Linked DNA regions of Macaca fascicularis. The protein of the gene in region 1 interacts with the protein of each later gene in a pairwise test. Links are inferred from orthologs where the notes say so. Each region holds a gene or a part of one and is shown on either strand. Other genes may lie near its edges. The genes, in order: GSTA4 and CIMIP5.

Region 1 (3,813 bases):
CCTCTCTACACTTCCCAGCCTCTAGTAAGCACCAATAACTTTCTATTTCCACGAGATCCACCTTTTTAGCTCCCACATATGAATCAGAACATTCAGTCTTTGTCTTCCTGTGTCTGGCTTATTTCACTTAACGTAATGACCTCTGTTTCTGTCCGTGTTGCTGAAAATGACAGGATTTTGTTTTTTTAATGGCTGAATAATATTCCACTATGTATGTATACATTTCTTTTTTTAAAATTTAGTTTGATGAAGAATTTCTGGAAACAAAAGAACAGTTACACAAGTTGCAGGATGGTGAGTATGAAAATGAAACAACTGCCTCTAATACTGATTTTCCTTTAAGAACTGCTGTTTATGTGGGAGGGCAAAAATATTCAATGACACTGAACATTCAGAACAGTATCCTAAAACCAAAAAAAGCAAGAGGGAATAAATAGTTGAAATTGCCAGGAAATCACTTCTTATTCAATAGTTCCATAAAAGCTGGCTGAAGGGGGTGAGTAGTTCCTTCCCCACCCAAGTGAACAGCTCTCCTCCATCCCTTTCTTCTCCCCTCTCTCCCCTCTAATCTCCTCCTCCCCCTTTCTTTCTCTCCCTTGCCCTTTCCCTCCTTCTCATCTTTCCCTACTTCCTTCATACTATCTGAGGCATCCTGGCCTGTTTGAAGTATGCAAATAAATACCCGCGATGGGGATACTTTCTGAAGTGAATACCACACAGAAGCGAAATCGACGAACTGCCCCTCCCTTCACCTTTAATTCCTGGTCAGCCCTGCTCCCTCCTTGCCCATCCATTATAGCAGGAGCCACCAGTAGACCCATAAAGAGTGCACCCATCAACCTGTGAGCAGCCTCCCTCCCAGCCAACAGCAGGGTCCTCAGGCCCAGCTGGAGGCTCCCTTGTATGGTACCAGCACTCCAGGGCTGTAAGGCCACCTTTTGTGTGCGACGGTGGCTGGAAGCCACTAGGCATGTGCTAAGTACTCCTTTCCCCTCTACCCTCACCCCTTCAGAATGCCCAAACCCTCAAGGGCCAAGCTGTACCCTATACAGGCATCTCTCCCCAGGGTTTGGTATGTGGAAAGTGTTGGATTCAGATTTGTTAAAGAAAACAATGGGTTGTTTTTTTAACTAGTGACAGCGGACTTGGTAGTAAACAATCTGTTCTGTGGCTACAGAGTAGCCACAGAGTATACATGAGCCAAAGAGTATACATGAGTCTCAGCTAGTTACTTAGGTTTCATGATCAGATTCTCTAAAAACACTGCTGTCCAGCAGAACATTCTACAGTGAAGGAAACATTGTATTCTGCACTGTCCAATATGGTAGCCACTAGGCACGTGTGACTGTTGAGTACATGAAATATGTCTAGTGCAACTGAGGAACTGAATTTTAAGTTTTAAAAATTGTAATTAATTTAAATTTAGATTTATATAGCTGCATGTAGCTTTGACTGCTGTATTGGCCTGTGTAGCACTGAAGAAATATCTTCACTACATTCCCCTTAATCCCTTATCACTGTGGATAGGTATTTTTCCTGGGGTGAAAATGAAAAGGGAACGTTTATAACAATGCTAGTTTTCAGGCTTCTTCTTTTTTTTTTTTTTTTCCCCCGAGACAGAGTCTTGATCTTTCGCCCAGGCTGGAGTACAATGGCATGATCTCGGCTCATTGCAACCTCCGCCTCCTGGGTTCAAGCAATTCTCCTGCCTCAACCTCCCAAGTAGCTGGGATAACAGGCATCAGCTACCACACCCGGCTAATTTTTTTAGTTTTAATAGAGGCGGGGTTTCATGATATTGGCCAGGCTGGTCTCGAACTCCTGACCTCATGATCCACCTGCCTCGGCCTCCCAAAGTGCTGGGATTACAGGCTTGAGCCACCGTGCCTGACCCCTTCAGGTTTCTTTTGTGGCTAAATCTGCTCTCCTGAATGAAGTTAAAGTTATCTGTCATCTGGAAGCTTTACACTATTTCCTAAGGCCATGATTCCACATTTCTTTTCATTCAACAGAGCATTTTTTAGGGGTTGGGGGACAGAGAAGAAGAGATCACTTCTAACTCTGGGCTTCCATTCTCAGGTAACCACCTGCTGTTTCAACAAGTGCCTATGGTTGAAATTGACGGGATGAAGTTGGTACAGACCCGAAGCATTCTCCACTACATAGCAGACAAGCACAATCTCTTTGGCAAGGACCTCAAGGAGAGAACCCTGTACTGTGGCCCCTCTCAAGTGTTGTCACTTGTCAGCTTACTGATGCCTTAGCTGATTAGCAGTCCTCTGCAGCACACCACATTTACTTTATGTCTTACATAGTTATGAGATCAGGGAGCAAAAACCCAAGAAGGTCACGAAGACCAGTTGGAACTTCAGTAGAGAGAGTCTGAGTAAAACAAAAGAAAATAATTGGATTCAGATGTTGAATACTATATCTAGGGTGTCATTGTTTCAGATTTCAACATTTTTAAATGCTTTGATACTGCTTTTTACCTTTCTTACACATTCACTATTGTTAAGTATTAGGAATGAGGAACTGCTGTGATGTTCAAGGCCTGGGAGAGTGACCATTAGAGACCATTAGATTATAATTTGAATTCAAAGCCTGGTCCTTGCACCCCTTAGATGTATGACCCTGGGCAACGTGGGTATAAGAATAGTACATCTCTCATAGTGTCATGTGATTTAATGAGATAATGAATGGAGAGTGTTTAGCACCATGCCTGGTACACTCTAAGCACTCAATAAATGGTATTCACTACTTTCATGAAGATGAAGTTTGACCCATACTAAGAGACCAAAACACAGATGCTGGGGTGAAGGTGGAGGAGTAGGATGCCAGGAAGAAAGCACTCGTGACTCTCAAGCTGTCTGATCTGTGACAGATTTTTGTGAGTTACAACTAGAATTGACCTTATCTCTTTGCTCTTAAGAGACAGGTATAGGTAAATGCTTCTAGGGACTTAAGTTGCCAGCATCTTAAAAAAAAAAAAAAAAAAAAAAAAAAAAAAGCACTCTGAATTCTTAGTTGTGGAAACCAATGGCTTCAAAGAGAGGAGAAACTGAGACAACTGCTCTTTTGTTTTAAGGATTGACATGTATGTGGAGGGGACGCTGGATCTGCTGGAACTGCTTATCATGCATCCTTTCTTAAAACCAGATGATCAACAAAAGGAAGTGGTTAACATGGCCCAGAAGGCTATAATTAGATACTTTCCTGTGTTTGAAAAGGTAGGTGGCAGAGATGCCTGTGTACACAGAGTAACCAAACCACAAAGAAGCTGCCACAAACACCCTTTTCTGTCCAAGCATTTTAAAACTGAGCCCAGTTGGACTAACCTAAGAGCTAATGGACTCCTAAGAGCTAATAGTAGCCACAGCACAAAGCTGGTGTCTTAGAGCCCCTCAGACTCTGCTAGGACCACATGATTCAGGAGTCTAGAAAAAGTATGGGCTCCCTGCCTGTGTCCCTTATTGTTCCTTGCATTCACCAAGTTCCCACCTTGTGTGGATACAGCAGAAACTTCAGAAGATACAGAAAACAGAAACTGCCTCATTCATTCATTCAACAAACAGTTGTTGAACAGCTATCTCATAGCTGACATCCTCCCTGATAATTTGATATGAGGAGAAGAACATTTCCATTTTATTTGTCTTCCCTTTGCTCTTTTTGTTTTTGGTTTTGTTGTTTTTCTCTTCTTGTTATATCTGCTTTTCTGAGCTTCCAATTCTTTATTCCTGAACTGGGAGGAGTATTTTTAGTGTTTCAGTGCAAACACTAAATAAGAGGATGTGAAAATATGGGAAGCCCTATCTG
Region 2 (4,562 bases), on another chromosome or scaffold:
ACAGCGGCCCACCCTGCCACGCTCCTGCTGCGCTCATCTTTACCAGGAAAATTTAAGTCACTAGATGCCAGCCTGTGTCATCCCAGCTCTGAGGGGAGGGACAGAGGACAGACAGAGTCCCAGGCTTGCAGCTCTGATTCTAGACTAATGTTTTCCCAAAAGGTCACACCCTTCAGCTCCATCCTCACGCAAGTGTGGGAAGACAAAGCTGGCAGCTCTTTCTGGCCTGGCTCTCAGCCCTGTCTTCTCCACGCCAGCCCTCCACCTGAGCCCGGTAGGGGCTTCATTGCCATTGCTTACCCACACCATGGCAATGGCGACCTCACCTGTTTCTTACCCCTTTCCTGATGGTTCTGTTCCCTGCAGTTCCGTTGGGGCTCACAGCCCATCAGTATCTCCCCACTGGGTACAGGATACAGTGGAAAACACCCCGGGGCCTGCCCCCATGTGCCCTGCCACCCCCGTCCTTGTCTCCTCCCACACATCTCCCAAAATGCCAGGCTCTCTCTTGCATCCAAGCTTTTGTGGTCACCCCAGTTTTTCTACCTGGCAAGTCCTTTCACCTGTGAAGTCCCAACTCCTTGCTGCCTCCCTCACAGAAGCAGAATCCAGCAGGGGCACACAGGACTGGCCACAGTGCCCTGTGGTTCACTGGCTGCCCTGCTGCCCTGCACCCCAGGCACTCTGCCCAGGCCTCTATTCATCAGGGTTTTGTCTGCACTTAGCTCTTCCTGTACAACGATAGGAAGCAGCGGCCCAGCTGAATGGACGCACAGAGAAGCTGCGTGGAAGGAACTGTGAATCTGCCAGCACCTACCGGAACGGCACGAAACCCAGAGAACGGGAAGCAGAGAGTGCAGGAGGCAGAAGTGATGAGAGCAGCGGGCATCCCTGGAGCTCAGCTGAGCCAGACCAGGAGAGGCTGCCACGGAGGGAGCCTGGCTGCACCCAGTTAGAACAGAAACAGGGCTGAGGGCTCGGACCGTGAGCCCTCAGGTTCTCCCTGTTCCCTTCAGCTGGTGACTGTGTGACCGTGGGCGGTCACTTAATCTTGCCGGTAAGGGCCTCAGTTTCCTCATCTGTAGAATGGCGTTGGAAAGGCATGGCTGGGAGGTCTCAGACATAAAGCAGAGTGCTGTGTGAACGCTCCGGGTTTACAGACAGAGCGGATGTTCCTAGTGCATTGCACTCATTTTCCCTCGCCCCACAGAAGCTCATGACCTCCGCCATTGTTCCCAAACAAGCAGGAAGCTTCACACTGATGCCTGATCCACAATTCCCAGAGCGCCCTCAGGGCCACCATCTCGTGCAAGCCTCGCAGCATCCACGAGGGGGCAGCACAGGACTATCATCGCCCCACGGCCTGAAGGCGGCTGCCGGAAGCCAAGTGCGACAATGGTGGGGGTGGCCCCCAGGAGCCCCGGCTTCGCTCCCTCCTCCTCCCCTACCCTGCTCGGAGGACTCCGGCCTCGGGGTAGGGGGCTGCTGAACTGGGCGTGGCATCTACTCAAGAACTCTCTGCCCCCCAGCCCTAGGGCTCAGATCACAAACACACACACACACACACACACACACACACACACACACACACACACGCACACACCCGCACGCACACACGGGGCCCGCCTCTTTCCTGGGAGCTGCCCGTTCCCAGGACAACAGTCAACACAGGCGGGAGTTCAAAACAAAACTGGGCTCAAATGCTCTCCCCATCGGCCACTCTGAGCTCGAGGCCTAAAGCCACAGTGAGGAGGACCCTGCCCAGGCTGTCCCGGGGTTAGGAGGGAGAGAGTGTTCCAGGAGGAGGTTTGAGCTGAGCTCAGGCACAGGAGTCTCTCTCTCTCTCTCTCTCTCTCACACACACACACACACACACACACACACACACACACTTGCACCCATGGGGAGCCACCCCACCCCTGGGCTCCAGAGAACCACATCACCTGGGCACCGATTGTCCCCCACCAGGCCGCCAACCTCTGTCTCCCCAGCTGCCCGGATTGGCCCTATGGCCAGCAAGGGTCTTGCTGGTGGCGGTCAGGCCCCCCAGGCTCTGAAGGCGCAGCGGGTGGCCCAGGGAGCTGCCTGCGGTGGCGGCGTGCAGCAGGACCAGCTGTGGCGGGAGCTCCTGGAGGCCGAGCGTCGGGGCCAGCGGCGCTGGTGAGTGCCTGCCCTCCCTTCTCCACCCTGACCCCCGCAACCTGACTACAAGTTGGGGAAACTTTTGGAGAAAGGGAGATGGCTGGGCAGCTGATCCGGGCTGAGGGACAGAGAGCATGGCATGCCCGGGGGGAGGCGGGTCACCGGCCCAGCCCAGAGCCAGACCCGAGCCTGAGCTTAGGAAGCCAGGAAGATGGAGGCCAGGATCAGATGCGGCTGGGTCCGAGCAGCCCCGCCTCCCTGGAGCAGGAGCCTGCTGGCCTAGTCTGGGTGAGAGGCGCTGGCCATCTGACCTGACTCTGGGAAAGATGCTCCTTCATGCCTTCATTCAACCAAAAATCCCCATGAGCCGCTCTGAAAGGAGACCAGATGCAACAAGGGACTGACCTGGCCATGGCTCCACGGAGCCTTCATACTCCGGACAGGGCAGCCAAAAAGCAAGCAGAAAAGCAAACAAGTACAAATCTGTAAGAAATGTGACCAGCGGTAAGAAGGAAACAACAGTTCAGGGTTAGGGGGAGAGCCGGCTGAAGGCCTCTCTGAGGAGACTTTTAAGCTGAGACATGAAACAGGAGAAGGAGCCAAGAGTTTGACGTATCTAAAAAAACAAAACAAAGAATTCGTGTAGCTGAGGCACAGGGAGTGAGGAAGGCCACAGGATAAGGGGGAGCAGCCGGGGGGGGGGGGGGGGGGCCACCCCAGCCCTCGTAAAAGTCTGGATGCATTTTTTCCAAAGGAGACACCATCCAGGATTTTAAGCAAGTACATGGCATGGTCTTTAAGCAAGAACACAGCATTTTTAAATGAGCAGCCTGATAGATTCTAGGAAGCGCTCATCTTGCACCGCTGAAACTTCATACCCGTGGATTAGCAACGCCCCATTCCCCCTCCTCCCAGCCTCTGGCACCCACCATTCTAGTCTTTACTCCCAGGAGTGTATTTTCAGTGCCTCATAGAAGTGGAATTGTGCAATATTTGACTTTCCATGTCCGTCTTGTTAGCTTAGCATCCTGTCCTCCGGATTCATCCATCTTGTCGCGTATTACAGAATTTCCTCCCATTCTAAGGCTGAATGTGTATATGTGCAGTTTCTTTATTCATTTGTCAATGGACTTTACGTTGCTTCCACATTTGACTGTTATATGTATTGCTACAATGGACATGGGAGTGGTTTCAATTCTTTTGGATGAATTCTCAAAAATGGATGTCTTAGTCCATTTTGCATTGCTGTCAAGGAACACCTGAGGCTGGGTAATTTATAAATAAGTTTATTTGGCTCACCGTTCTGCAGGCCGTACAAGCATAGTCTTGGAATCCACTTGGCTTCTGGTGAGGGTCTCGGGAAGCTTACAATAATGGCAGAAGGTGAAGGAGGAGCAGGCGTGTTGCATGGTAAGAGAGGGACCCAGAGAGAGAGGGGGAGGTTTCAGGCTCTTTTTAACAACCAGCTCTCTCCTGTGAACTAATAGCGCAAGAGCTCATTCATTACCGCAAGGAAGGCACCAAGCCGGTCACGACCCAAACACCTCCCACTGGGCCCTACCTTCAACACTCGGGATCACATTTCAATATAAGATTTGGAGAGCACAAACACTCAAACCATATTGGAGGGATTGCAGGATTATATGCTACCTCTATTTTTAATTTTTTGAGGAACCTCCATTGTCTTTTCCATAGCAGTGGCACCATTTTGCATTCCCATCAGCAGTATCTCAGCATTCCAGTTTCTCCACACAATGGCCAACACTCATTGATTGTCTTTTGGTTTTTGATAACAACCATCCTAATAGGTGTGAGGTGGTATCTCATTGTGATTTTTTGTTTTGTTTCGTTTTGAGATGAAGTCTCCCTCTGTCGCCCAGGCTGGAGTACGGTGGCGTGATCTCGGCTCACTCCAACCTCTGCCTCCCAGGTTCAAGCAATTCTCCTGCCTCAGCCTCCCAAGTAGCTAGGATGACAGATGCCCTCCACTACTCCTGGCTAATTTTTGTATTTTTATTAGAGACAGGTTTTTACCATGTTGGCCAGGCTGGTCTTTTTTTTTTTTTTTTTTTTTTTTTTTGAGACGGAGTCTTGCTCTGTCACCCATGCTGGAGTGCAGTGGTGCGATCTCAGCTCACTGCAAGCTCCGGCCAGGCTGGTCTTGAACTCCTGACAGCAGATGATCCACACGCCTCAGCCTCCCAAAGTGTTGGGACTACAGGTATGAGCCACCGTGTTTGACCTCTGTGGTTTTGATTTGCATTTCTCTGATGATGAGTGACATTGATAATCTTTTCATATATTTATTGGCCATTTATTTATCTTCTTTGGAGAAATGTCTGTTCAAGTCTTTAACCCATTTTTTCAATTGGGTTATTTGGTTTTGTGCTACTAAGTTGTAGAAGTTCCTTATACATTTT

Evidence for each region.
Region 2: the proteins of GSTA4 (region 1) and CIMIP5 interact in binary tests that used the Homo sapiens proteins (3 or more experiments, as listed by UniProt). The two-hybrid records come from large-scale screens. The link is inferred for Macaca fascicularis from reciprocal best matches to the Homo sapiens genes GSTA4 and CIMIP5.

The regions. Positions count from the first base shown.
Region 1 is NC_088378.1:118,790,140-118,793,952, forward strand, and holds part of GSTA4 (glutathione S-transferase A4), read left to right. Parts: exon of another isoform or gene 1-242; coding exon 243-294; intron 295-2,079; coding exon 2,080-2,212; intron 2,213-3,085; coding exon 3,086-3,227; intron 3,228-3,813. UniProt on the Homo sapiens protein: Conjugation of reduced glutathione to a wide number of exogenous and endogenous hydrophobic electrophiles. This isozyme has a high catalytic efficiency with 4-hydroxyalkenals such as 4-hydroxynonenal (4-HNE).
Region 2 is NC_088387.1:110,968,601-110,973,162, reverse strand, and holds the start of CIMIP5 (ciliary microtubule inner protein 5), read left to right. Parts: upstream 1-1,714; 5' UTR 1,715-1,900; coding exon 1,901-2,160; intron 2,161-3,451; exon of another isoform or gene 3,452-3,552; intron 3,553-4,562.